Yarrowia lipolytica: one gene and its partner. The protein of the gene in region 2 interacts with the protein of the main gene of each other region in a pairwise test. Links are inferred from orthologs where the notes say so. Each region holds a gene or a part of one and is shown on either strand. Other genes may lie near its edges.

Region 1 (7,218 bases), on a different chromosome or scaffold from region 2:
CGTTTCCACAGAAATACTGTCTGACAATGACGTCTTCATTCTGAGCAGTTTCCCACAGAATGACAGATTTGTCTCCCGAAGCGGTGGCCAGGAAATCAGGCAGTCCAGCCCCAGTACTCATATCGAGAATGGCGTTATTGTGCATCTGAATGGTGTTGACATGTTGCAGCTGTTTGTTGACATTGACTGCTTTGCCGTCTTGGGTTCCGATCCAAAAGCCATTTGTTGAGCTGGAAGAAACGCCGCAAAGGACAGGAAGAGGACAATCTTCGATGGCCACGGCTATTCCCGTTGCCTGGGCGTATCTATGGGGTATGGGATTCTGGGTCATGATATGGCGTCTGAGACCGTCCATTTCGCGCCACTGAAGACGAGACAGAAAAGATGCATTGTGAGAGAGACTGTTGATGCCAGATCTCAGGTGAGAAGGCAGACAGACAGCGATTTCAAATGGAACAGGGCTTTTTTCAAGCGTGCTGAACTCGGCGGAGGTGTAGTCGTCTGTTCTCTTGATAGGCGAACTTGAAGGCGGGCTAGGAGGATATTCGTGACGTCGTTTTTTTGTGGCTCCAAAGTCGAAGATGGACGCCTGACGTCGTTTATTGAGCTGCGACGGCGAGAACTCCTGGAGAGGATGTGACATTTGTGCTGTGGGGAGTTGCTTGTTGGATTTGTTGTATTCTGTCCTTCAAGCAGTATTATATTTGTCAAGGCTGGGCCAATTTACGCGCGTCTCGCATGCACCACGCGTAGACGTGACACTTTAATTAGAGAAGAGGAGACACGTGTTTGAAAGCGTGGGAGGGGGTCTGAAGAGATAAAAGCCCACATTTATCTGTTTAAACAGGTACGACAAACATTGTATCACGCGATACCCTCTCTGCTGTCCTCAATTCCTCCTAAACACTCACTTCTCCTTTCCGGCTTGCCATTGGTGGCGTGAAAGAGCCATGCCATACTACGGACAGTTGAGAATTTCGTGATGACACATTCACCAGGCACCAGGTACAACCAAACTATGTGTCAGGTACGCACGTGATAACAGTACCAACAGAAATTGTACCCATTCTGTCACAGTGTCTTCTCCTATGTCGTGATCTATATGAGCCACATTCTCTCCTACTATTCACATCAGATTATGAAAGCTGCACTGTAGCTAAAAGGTTGGGAATTTACTGTAGGAAAACTGCACATACTGTAGAGAGCTGGGAGGAAGAGATATCAAATAATATAGCTTAAATCAACATGTGGAGATCTACTACTTTATAAGAACAATACCGTACAAGTGCACAAGTACATAGTTGCAGTCATGTTACAGCATCTGGACGACCTCAAAGTCAGTGTCTACCCAATCAGGAACACCCTAACCCTCCATATCCTTGTCGCCGCGTACATATTAAACTCTGGCCGGGTAAGTGGCATCTTGCCGGGGAAAAGGGTTTGAAAGATTCTTGTACAGAACTTCTCCCATTGGCCAGAACCCTAAAATGCGGTTAGGGCACCTCAGGCTAACAAATGTGGCTATCGCCCAAACTCCTCCTCCTCTAGCCAGACAAAGTACCCGCCCCTGACCTCTTGTTTGGCAACCACTGTCGCTTCAAAGTCACGCGTCTCGTCGACGAGATGAACACGCACCGCAGACACACTGTGGCATTGGTCTGCGCCTGTGCCACGCCCGCTGGACACTACACTACGGCGCTGTCCTGGTCACGTCCTGTCTGTGTCCCCGCCATCTCCTAGGCCCTGTGGTATCATATCCAAATATGCTTTGGACGTGTATCGGGGCGTTTTTGGAGTGTGGCTACGGCGTCAGAGAGCTCGTGGCACCGTCTAGGACCTACAGAGGTGCTCTAGGGCGTCGCACAAGGGCTGGGTCGCCCGGATCATCGCAGCCATGGTGCCCACACGCGTGCTCATGTACTCTGCTGCTCACCTCCGTGACTGACATCGCCAGACGCGTCACCTGGCGGAAGAACTCTTGGTGTGAAGCTTTGTAAACACAGGGCGTGAAGCTCTGTCTACCGCTGTGGTGACTCCTTACGTAGAATCTCGGGGACAACCATGACGATGTTGTGATTGTGTCTCCGCCGTAACTTTTCATGTCCTTACTCTGTATCTTTCATAGCGCAATTCATTCCACTCTCCCACAAACAATAACCCGTACCATCCCCACTGTTTCTGCATATACACATTACTGTGTTGCTGTCGTCACGCTCTTTTTTTTTGCCGACATTTTCTCTTCATCCATCGCTCACAGAACCGCGCAACAGCACAACGGAGAAGGAACCAGAGACTTGATCACGTCTCTTTTCCTCACACAAAAGCACAACCACGACGCCAGAAACACAGACAGAAGGTCATCAACCCCTCTGCATTTTCCCCGCCGCCCACAGCGTTTGATATACGTCCATTAGCAGGTTGTGGTAACAATGGTGAGTACACTGGACTGAAGATGGCATGGTGGAGAATAAGTGGGTGATAACTGTCACAAAGAGATGGTAGAGACAGGCTACGATGCTCTATCTACCCACAAAAGTCACCATGTTGCTGTTACTAACCCTAGAACCCCGACTTCAACGACGACCCCGAGCTCTATGGGCTGCGACGGTCCCGGAGATCAGCGGTGACTACGGCCAACGAGGCCCGCAAGAGATACGTCGACTATTCGTCGTCGGAAGAGGACGTGCCCAAACGTCCCCAGAGAAAGAAGCAGGCCAAAAAGAGCAACGGAATCGTCCTCTCCGACGAGAGCGAAATGTCTCTGGATGATGAGGAATCAGAGGAGGACGATGAGGACTCTGAGGAGGACGACTACGCACCGACCAAGAAGGCTAAGAAATCGTCTTCTTCCAGACGCAAGGGTGGACGAAACAAGTCGTCTGCCCGAGAGCCGTCCCCCGACTACCAGAACCTGCGGTTCTCGTCTCGTAACGCCAAGGTGGTCAACTACAATATTGACCATGACGATGACGAATTTCTGGAGGACGAGGATGAGGACGCTCTGCAGGACGCATACGGTGATGCCGCTGCTAATGACACATACGACTACGCCACCACCACGTCCACCGAGGCGGTGGATATGGTGCTGGACCATCGTCGAAAAGAAGGCGACGACGACTCGCAGATTACAGATCTGTTTGACGCCAAGCGACACCTCGAGTTCTACATCAAGTGGCAGAACTACTCGCATCTGCACAACACGTGGGAGACGTACGATTCGCTGGCCGGCTTCAAGGGAATCAAGCGAGTCGATAATTACATCAAGCTCAACGTGCTGGAGTATGCAGAGCTGCAGCGAGATGCATCCCCCGAGGATATCGAGGCCATGGAGCTGCGACGCGAGCGCGAACAGGAGGAGTACGCTGAGTATAAACTTGTTGAGCGAATCATTGCATCAGATCGTGTCGCTGTCGACAATGGAGCCACTCAGTTGCAGTATCTCGTAAAGTGGAAGCGACTCAACTACTCGGACGCCACCTGGGAAGATGCCGAGGAGATCGCCAAGATTGCCGAGGACGAAGTCGAGCGGTTCCAGGACCGGCTCAACTCGAAAATCAATCCCAGCCAGAGCGCAGTCTACCCTGCCAACTCACGTCCTCCGTTTGAGAAGCTTACCGAGCAGCCTGGCTTCATCAAGGGTGGTGAACTTCGAGACTTCCAGCTGACCGGAATCAACTGGATGGCCTTCTTGTGGTCTCGAAACGAAAACGGTATTCTTGCCGACGAAATGGGACTCGGTAAAACCGTCCAAACCGTTGCATTTCTCTCATGGCTTGTGTACGCTCGAAAGCAGCACGGGCCCCACCTGGTGGTAGTTCCTCTGTCTACTGTGCCTGCCTGGCAGGAGACCTTTGAGTTCTGGGCGCCTGGTATCAACTACCTCGCATATCTCGGCAACACCGAGTCTCGAAAAGCACTTCGTGACCACGAATTCTACAACAAAACTGGTAACAAGAAACCCAAGTTCAATGTTCTTCTGACCACCTACGAGTACATTCTTAAGGACCGAGCCGAGCTGGGGTCCATCAAGTGGCAGTACCTGGCTGTTGACGAGGCCCACCGTCTCAAGAACGCCGAGTCAGCTCTCTACGAGTCTCTCAAGGAGTTCCGAGTCGCAAATAGACTGCTCATCACCGGTACTCCGCTGCAGAACAACATCAAGGAGCTGGCTGCTCTGGTTGACTTCCTGATGCCTGGCAAGCTCACCATCGATCTGGAAATTAATTTTGAGAACCCTGACGAAGAGCAGGAGGGTTACATTCGTGAGCTTCATAAGCGCCTGCAGCCTTTCATCTTGCGTCGACTCAAGAAGGATGTCGAGAAATCACTGCCCTCTAAGACAGAGCGAATTCTGCGAGTCGAAATGTCCGACATGCAGCAGGATTACTACAAGAACATCATTTCCAAAAACTACACGGCTCTGAACGCCGGAGCCACCGGAGGTCACCAGATGTCACTTCTCAACATCATGACGGAGCTCAAGAAGGCCTCCAACCATCCGTACCTGTTCCCCACTGCCGAGAGCAAGTTCCTCAGCTTGGCTGAGAACGGCGCTTCTCGAGAAAACGTCTTCCGAGGCATGATTATGACCTCTGGTAAGATGGTTCTTCTCGATAAGCTGCTCACTCAGCTGAAAAAGGACGGTCATCGAGTTCTGATTTTCTCCCAGATGGTTCGAATGCTCGACATTTTAGGCGATTATTTGCAGATTAAGGGCTACCAATTCCAGCGTCTGGATGGTACTGTCCCCTCTGCCACCCGTCGAATTGCAATTGACCATTACAATGCCCCTGACAGTAACGACTTCGTCTTCTTGCTGTCCACTCGAGCTGGAGGTTTGGGTATCAACCTGATGACGGCCGATACAGTCATCATTTTTGATTCGGATTGGAACCCCCAGGCTGATCTGCAGGCCATGGCTCGAGCCCATCGAATCGGTCAGAAGAACCACGTGATGGTCTATCGATTTGTGTCCAAGGACACTGTTGAAGAGCAGGTTCTCGAGCGTGCCAGAAAGAAGATGATTTTGGAGTACGCCATCATCTCCCTTGGTATCACCGACAAGGGTTCTTCCAACAACAAAAAGACTGAGCCGTCGACCTCGGAGCTGTCTGAGATCCTAAAGTTTGGCGCCGGAAATATGTTCAAGGCCAACGATAACCAGGACAAGCTGGAGAACATGAACCTAGACGATGTTCTGAACCACGCAGAGGACCATATCACCACTCCTGATCTCGGCGAGAGTCATCTTGGCGGCGAGGAGTTCCTTAAGCAGTTTGAGGTCACTGACTACAAGGCCGATGTTGATTGGGACGACATTATCCCTGCCAACGAGCTCGCCAAGATCAAGGCTGACGATCTGCGTCGAAAGGACGAGGAGTACGTCAAGGAACAGATGGATCTAATGAATCGACGTCGAGCTGCCTCTCAGCGTGCCTCCACTGCTGCTCTTGAGTCCTCTGACGAAAATGAGGAGAGTGGAGGGCGGCGTGTGGTCAAGCGCAAGAAGGAGGACAAGTTCCTCAACGAGCGGGAGATCAGAGGTTTGTACCGAACAATTCTACGTTACGGCGACGTCTCCGTCATGTGGGATAAGCTTTTCAACGACGGTACTTTGCCCCAGCGAAAGTCCGATCTCATCAAGGAAGCCTACTTTGACCTCATTGACCAGAGTAAGCGGGAGGTTGAGGAGCGAGAAAAGCAGATCAAGGAAGAGGCTGAAGCTGCTGCCGCTGCTGCGGCAAAGGCTGCTGCTTCTCGAGGCGGTGGAGATACTGCCCTGGACGAGAAGAAGCCCTCCAACACCAAAAAGGCCGTTCTTTTCACCTTCCAGGGCGTCAAGAACATCAACGCCGAACTGCTCATCTCACGACCAGCCGACATGAAGCTCATTCGAAGCCAGGTGACGGACACTTTCAAGTTCGACGAACCTCTCAAGAGTGTGCATGGCTGGAACTGTGAGTGGGACGAGGACTGTGACGCTCGTCTGCTCATTGGTACCAAGAAGTACGGTTATGGAGCCTGGACCTTCATTCGAGACGATCCACGTCTCAAATTTGGAGACAAGTTCTACCTTGAGGAGCACCGAGTTGACAAGAAGGAGGCTCGAGAGAAGACTGGAGCCAAGGTTCCTGGTGCCGTTCACCTCGGTCGTCGAGTTGACTACCTCATCTCTGTTCTCAAGGGCGAGGCTGTTCACACCAACAACGATGGCAACAAGAAGCGAATTGCCATCAAGGAGCGTGTTCGAAAGAGCGAATCTCCCGCAGTGTCCACTCCTCAACCTCCCAAGAAGGCTGCTATCAAGCGAGATCCTTCCATCAAGCGAGATCCTTCCATCAAGCGAGAGACTCCCAAGCGAGAGACTCCTGTCCCCAAGAAGATTCCTGGACCTCCCACGGCTGACGACTACTCAGACTATGAGTCAATGGACGATGAGGCGTGTCGAACGACTCTCAAACCTGTCAAGGCGTCTCTGAAGCGCCTCAAGAAGGGCGAGGATGGTTTGGACAAGAAGGCCTGGCTGGAGGTCCTCAAGAAGGAGCTGTCCACGGTGGGCCACCACATCGACTCCGAAGCCCAGAAGGTCTCTGATAAGAAGCGGGAGAAGACTCTCAAGCATCTGTGGGCGTTTGCATCCTTCTTCTGGCCCAGCAGAGTCAAGAGTAACCGTATCCGGGCAATGTACGAGAAGGTCAGCGGAGCCGCCAAAAAGTAGACTTCCAAAGTCTACTGTAACGCATCATGTAATCATATTAAAGTAATCAATATTTGTATTTTATATCGGTGTGACTAGCTCTCGTAAGCCGGTAGTGGTGGTTGCTTCTCAGGTAAGGAGGCCACGGATCGTACTGGCAATGGCAAACTTGGATCAGTGTCGTTGCTTAGAGCGTTTTCTCGATGGAAGATCGTCACAGGAGTGCTGATATTATGGTCGAAGAATCGTCTTCTCTTAATGTTACCTTGGGTCTCCAGTAACGAGAATCTCAGCGTGCTCTGGAGAGAGTGTGAGGTGGGCGCTGGATGGCTTGTCTTTGTGGTTGGGTTGATGTGGTCTGTGAATTTCCTCAGCGAAAACTTGTAGTTTAGATCTGTGTGGTCTGAGCCGTAGTCGAGAAGATTTCCCTTGCAACATGTGTCCAGAAAGTGTTGTTTGTACTCGTAGCCGCTCTCTTCAATCTCCTTGAGTTCGTTTTCATGCTGTTCAAGCAGATCAGG
Region 2 (4,921 bases):
TCTTTAGGTGAAAAGTCCGTCGGCTCCTCTCCGTCGGCTCCGTAATACTCAAAATGATGGTCTGTGTTCTCCGACGTCTCAATCAGGGTCTCCATAAGAGACTCTCCCACTGCGTTTCTTAAAGGGGGGGAGCTTCTGACCCGGCAACCGTCTTCTCCAGGCAGAAGAGGCAGGTAGTAGGGCGCAAATAGCGCTTCGTCGTAGATTCGCGGTCGAATTTCATGATTTTCCTGCAGAAACTCGGCCGTGGCTTTGAGTCTATACCCTTCGGCAGTGCAGTAGGCTGTGACTCGTGGGAGCTTTGCATCTCGCGCATCTTTGCTCATTCGCTCGGCTATACTTCGTCTGGGCACATCTGTGACATACACCTTGGCGTTGGCCTCGTCGTAAGCATCTGCGTCTGTGTTGAGGTCGAACAGCTCGTGTCCCTTCAGCTTTCCGGGGATGGGCACTCCGTAAGCGTCTTCATCATCGTCGTCGTAGGACGGCGACTCGTCTGGGATCAAAACCAGTTTTTGCGACTGTTTCGACGTTCGCTGTGGGATGCCTCGCGCCTTTTGCACCGTGCTCTGGTAGTCGTGTTGCAGTCGCTTTGCTGGAGCTCCGTCCAACAGTCCAGACACACTAATGTTGCTGAACTTGTTTCCTTTCGATTTGGGCCGTTTCGAGAAGGACTGGCGCCGGCCGCCTGCAAACGGCGCCGGCCGCACGGGGTTAGTCCGCACATCGGTCACCAGAATCGACGGTGACCGTTTGCTCATTTGAGTCTGGTTGGACATGGTGCTGGTGCTGGTACTGTTTGGAAAGAATAAAAGTAGAGTTTCCATTGCAGCACTGAGATGCAGTCTAATACTGGCGTGTGAGGAAATGAGTCTGAAACTTCAGGAGCTGATTTGGTCTGGTCAATGGAGCGACGCAAGCAACGCAATCGCCGTGGCTTTATATCACTGCTTCTGTGTTTGTTTGCGCGCGTTGCCACACCCGCTATGTGACATGCGTTTCCTGGTCTACGGTTACATTGACTAGTCTCATTCCAGACCTAGAAATAGGCATATTAGTGCCTGCAAGACGACAGCAAGGAAGACAGAGTAGGAGACCAGAGTCGAGCTGGCTTGCTGGATATGAGGAGAGTGTGTGTAGTGAAGTTAGGGGGGCGTTGGTGTATGTCGATTTCGTGTTATTCTCGTTTTTCGGTGTTTTGTGGACATCCCTAATATTCGTGATTTGCAGGTGTCGAACCGGTGCCTTGGCGGATGCGTGGCTTAGAGTATCTCAAGTGGCTTGTGTGAATCTATGACACTATACTGTACGGACCCAGCTTCCGAAATAATGTATTAAGCGACTATCGAGTAGTTACTACTTTTATTGACTATATCCTGAGATGCTAGGGTCGATAATTCCTGGGGACTAATTCAATGACTAGTTCTGTTCTGAGTCTAGAAGTCAGGTCTATGTTAACGTTAGAAAATCCCATGTAATAGCCCACAAATGTCCTAACTAACAGGAACTCCACATTCCCTACTGTACAGCAACTACGGACACTTTTCTGGAATATAATTATAATTAATATCTAATATTTGCTCAGAATACGTGTACCTCCTCTGGAACTGTATAAAAATCATAGCTCGAGCTCCTCTGAAAGCCGAGCGAGACACACCGAGGTGAACTTTCCTCTTCACTACTTATCAACTAATGTAAGTAAAGCTACGGAGAAGGTATCCAAGGGGACTCCGAAATCACAGTTGGTCCGTGTATTTTTACTGAATTACATGCTACAAGTGCTGTACAAGTTCAAGTAGTGAATATCTGTCTTTCAAAAGATCGCTACGTGGCTCAGCCCAGCTCGTCACATTTTCTCTCTGAAATTTCAAAAATTTCAGTGTTGAACATCATTGAGTCCCAATAAAGCGTCATAAAATCGGTTAAAATGGGAGGAATTGGAAATATGAAGTTGTGAATCTGATCAAAATCGTTGCCCAGATCCATTTATTGTCACATGACCTCTCAATCTACCCCCGGTAGCCCCTAATATTAGGATATCCACCGATCCCTTCAATCCCCCGTTTCCCAGCTTGTCCCAACACGTGACTTTGAGTTTGGCGTTCAGCATCGACATCTTGAGATTTGTCTCTCTGGAAGCAGCAGCACTACAACACCCCAAAATGTCCGATCTCGACGACGATCTTCTTGCGCTTGCTGGCGGCGTGGACTCCTCTGACGAGGGCGATCTAACATCCAAGGCCGAGCCTTCCAAACGTCGACGTATTGATGAGGACAGTGAAGATGGCGACAAGGGAGATGATGACGATGGAGGTGATGATGGTGATGACGACCATCAGGACGACGACGAGGATGACTATGAAGCCAAGGGCGTTGACCACGACGACGACGACGACGACGATGAGTCCGAAGACGAGTTCGTGCCTTACCCCTTGGAGGGTAAATACAAGGACGAAGCCGATCGGCAGAAGCTGCTCAACATGACTGAAATGGAGCGAGAGTCTCTGCTGTTCGACCGATCGCAGGAGATGCAAAAGTACCAGGAGAAAAAGTACCTGACTCAGCGTCTTAAGCAGCGAAAGCGGGACACCGAGCGCAACTCTGAGCGATCTTCCAAGAGAGAAAAGCTGAGTGAATTGAAAAAGCGACGAGAGAAGCGAGCCCGAAAACAGGATGATTACGACGACGACGAGGAAGACGAAGGAGAGGAGGAGGAAGACGATTTTGACGACGGCTACGAACCGGAGGATCATGTGGTGGACGAAAAGGAGGTGGTCAAGACACTTGACGTACGACTACTCAATTCAGTCCGGTTCTCGCGATCCCAGCTCGCCAAGTTTTGTTTCTATCCTGAATTCGAGCAGGTTGTGGTCGGTTCTTACATTCGAATTCCAATTGCCGTCAGCAGAACGGAACAGCGAAACCGAGTGTGTCTCGTGAAGGAGGTTGTCCCCCTCAAACACAAGACGTATTCCCTGGAGGGCACTACAGTCAACTTTTCGCTCAAGGTGGCGTTTGGAGCCGACGAAGCCAACTTTGAGATGCGATACTGCTCTGACAGCCCCTTCACTGAGGAGGACTTTGTCAAGTGGAAAAAGGCGTGTGAGGAGGGAGGCGTTTCCCTGCCCAGTGTCCAGCGCCTGGAACGGAAACACAAGGAGCTCAAGGAGCTGGCCACGCGACCTCTCACATCGCAGGAGATTGACGACATGGTCCGCCGACGGTCCAAGCTGTCTGCGGGTCGGGGAGCCAACGCTGTGATTGAGCGGGCAGTGCTGGAAAACAGACGCCAGATTGCCGAGGACCAAGGAAATGAGGACGAAATGGCCAAGATTGATGAACAGCTGGCCGAGCTGGAGGCACTGAACACGTCCAAGCCCATCTCGTCGCAGAAAGACAAGTTTGCCGAGGTCAATGCTCGAAACAGAAAGGCCAACCAGGAGAGCATTCGAAAGGCTGAGTTGATGGATCTGGAGGCGCGACGAAAGGCTGCCATGAGCAACTCTGGTGTCAATGCCGATCCTTTTTCGCGTCTCAAGACGACCGTCAAGATCTTCCATCAGTCGGCTGAGGAGATTAGACAGAAGGAGATGGAGAAGGCGGAGGGGATCGCCGAGGAGGAGGCCAAGAAGGTGTGTTTGAAGACGCATAGTATTGATTCGAGAATTGCAACGATTGAGATTGATATTGATCTAAGCAAGTTGTGAACGGCGAGCGAAAAGCCAAGGATAGGTAGGTAGCACTTCCTTTGCTTCCGGCTGCAAGCGCCATGAAGCGTGAAAGACTAAGTCTCTTTGCCGGACTCCACATTCACATCAACAGGAATGGGTTTGAAGGCACAGTGAATCTGTTGTGGAGGAATAGTAGGTAGGAGCAGGGTTAGCTGCCCTGGTAAGTTATGTTTGTAATATATGGAACTGATTGTGATGTACAAGTTGGTAAGCAGGCGGTAGAATCGTATTACAAGAACTGTACAGTATGTACCGTCATACAAGTTTCTAAACAAGCTGCGGCATAACAGTGTTCACACGCCGCCACTGCTGATTGTTCAATACAGGAACGAGTACAAGTGCAATACTTGTATTCTGTCGATTCACCAGATCTCCACGAAAACAGGATAATATCTCTCTTTTATTACTTTTAATGGTGTACAGATTCCAGTAGGGTTTCAAAAGGGGGCCTCGACTGAGATTCCTTACTTCCCATAGATAGGCCATATAGCCATCCCTGGAACATATATAAAACAATACACAGTTAATTAATTGAACACACTAAGTCAGACCTTTACACTATCGTCTAGGAAGTGGTGCTCCTGTACTTCCTCCCATTCTCAGTCATACGACATAAAGGACGCTTGTGCATCATCTTGCGTAAATGAGAGTCAATAAAAGTACCTAAAATGATTTAAATGGCTTTAAATAACTATGTAGACAATTTCTGTTGGTCTTAGAACTCCTTTTGGGCTGGAGATGGTGTTCATTTGACCCAAGGGTCTGAACTGATATTAGATTGAACATACTGTAGATGGTGTTAGAGTGATAATGTACAGTACAGTACAGTAGTAGTAAGTGGGTTGTTTGAAAAGTACTTCAGGTGTATTCTAAGTATTTTAAGTGTATTCTAATTGCAGTTAATCTCATTGATAAGCACTTTGAATTTTCCACTTAATGTCCCCCTTTCCCTCTTCACCTCTTCAACTCAAGCTAGGAACAGTCCTATAGGCTGTAAAACCATTTCAAGAGACACATTGATTATGAGGACTTCTACTCTAGTCTTCTTTAGCTCTTTTGGGTCGTTTGTGGACCTCTTTTCTTCAAATTAGGGCTTTTTGCGCCACTTTTTTTTTTGATTTTACATCTCAAATAGCCTCAATCATGCCCCGAAATCCACACACTGATGTGGTGGCTCAATGGTAGAGCTT

What was found.
Region 1: the proteins of YALI1_D02137g (region 2) and YALI1_C00422g interact in a two-hybrid assay, tested with the Saccharomyces cerevisiae proteins (3 studies listed by BioGRID, with this or other methods). The link is inferred for Yarrowia lipolytica from reciprocal best matches to the Saccharomyces cerevisiae genes RTF1 and CHD1.

The regions. Positions count from the first base shown.
Region 1 is NC_090772.1:37,627-44,844, reverse strand, and holds YALI1_C00422g (uncharacterized protein), read left to right. Parts: upstream 1-2,429; coding exon 2,430-2,432; intron 2,433-2,563; coding exon 2,564-6,718; downstream 6,719-7,218. Other genes in the region: YALI1_C00442g (uncharacterized protein), read right to left, coding at 1-643; YALI1_C00368g (uncharacterized protein), read right to left, coding at 6,793-7,218. UniProt on the Saccharomyces cerevisiae protein: ATP-dependent chromatin-remodeling factor which functions as substrate recognition component of the transcription regulatory histone acetylation (HAT) complexes SAGA and SLIK. It recognizes H3K4me.
Region 2 is NC_090773.1:210,979-215,899, reverse strand, and holds YALI1_D02137g (uncharacterized protein), read left to right. Parts: upstream 1-2,162; coding exon 2,163-3,707; downstream 3,708-4,921. Other genes in the region: YALI1_D02150g (uncharacterized protein), read right to left, coding at 1-827.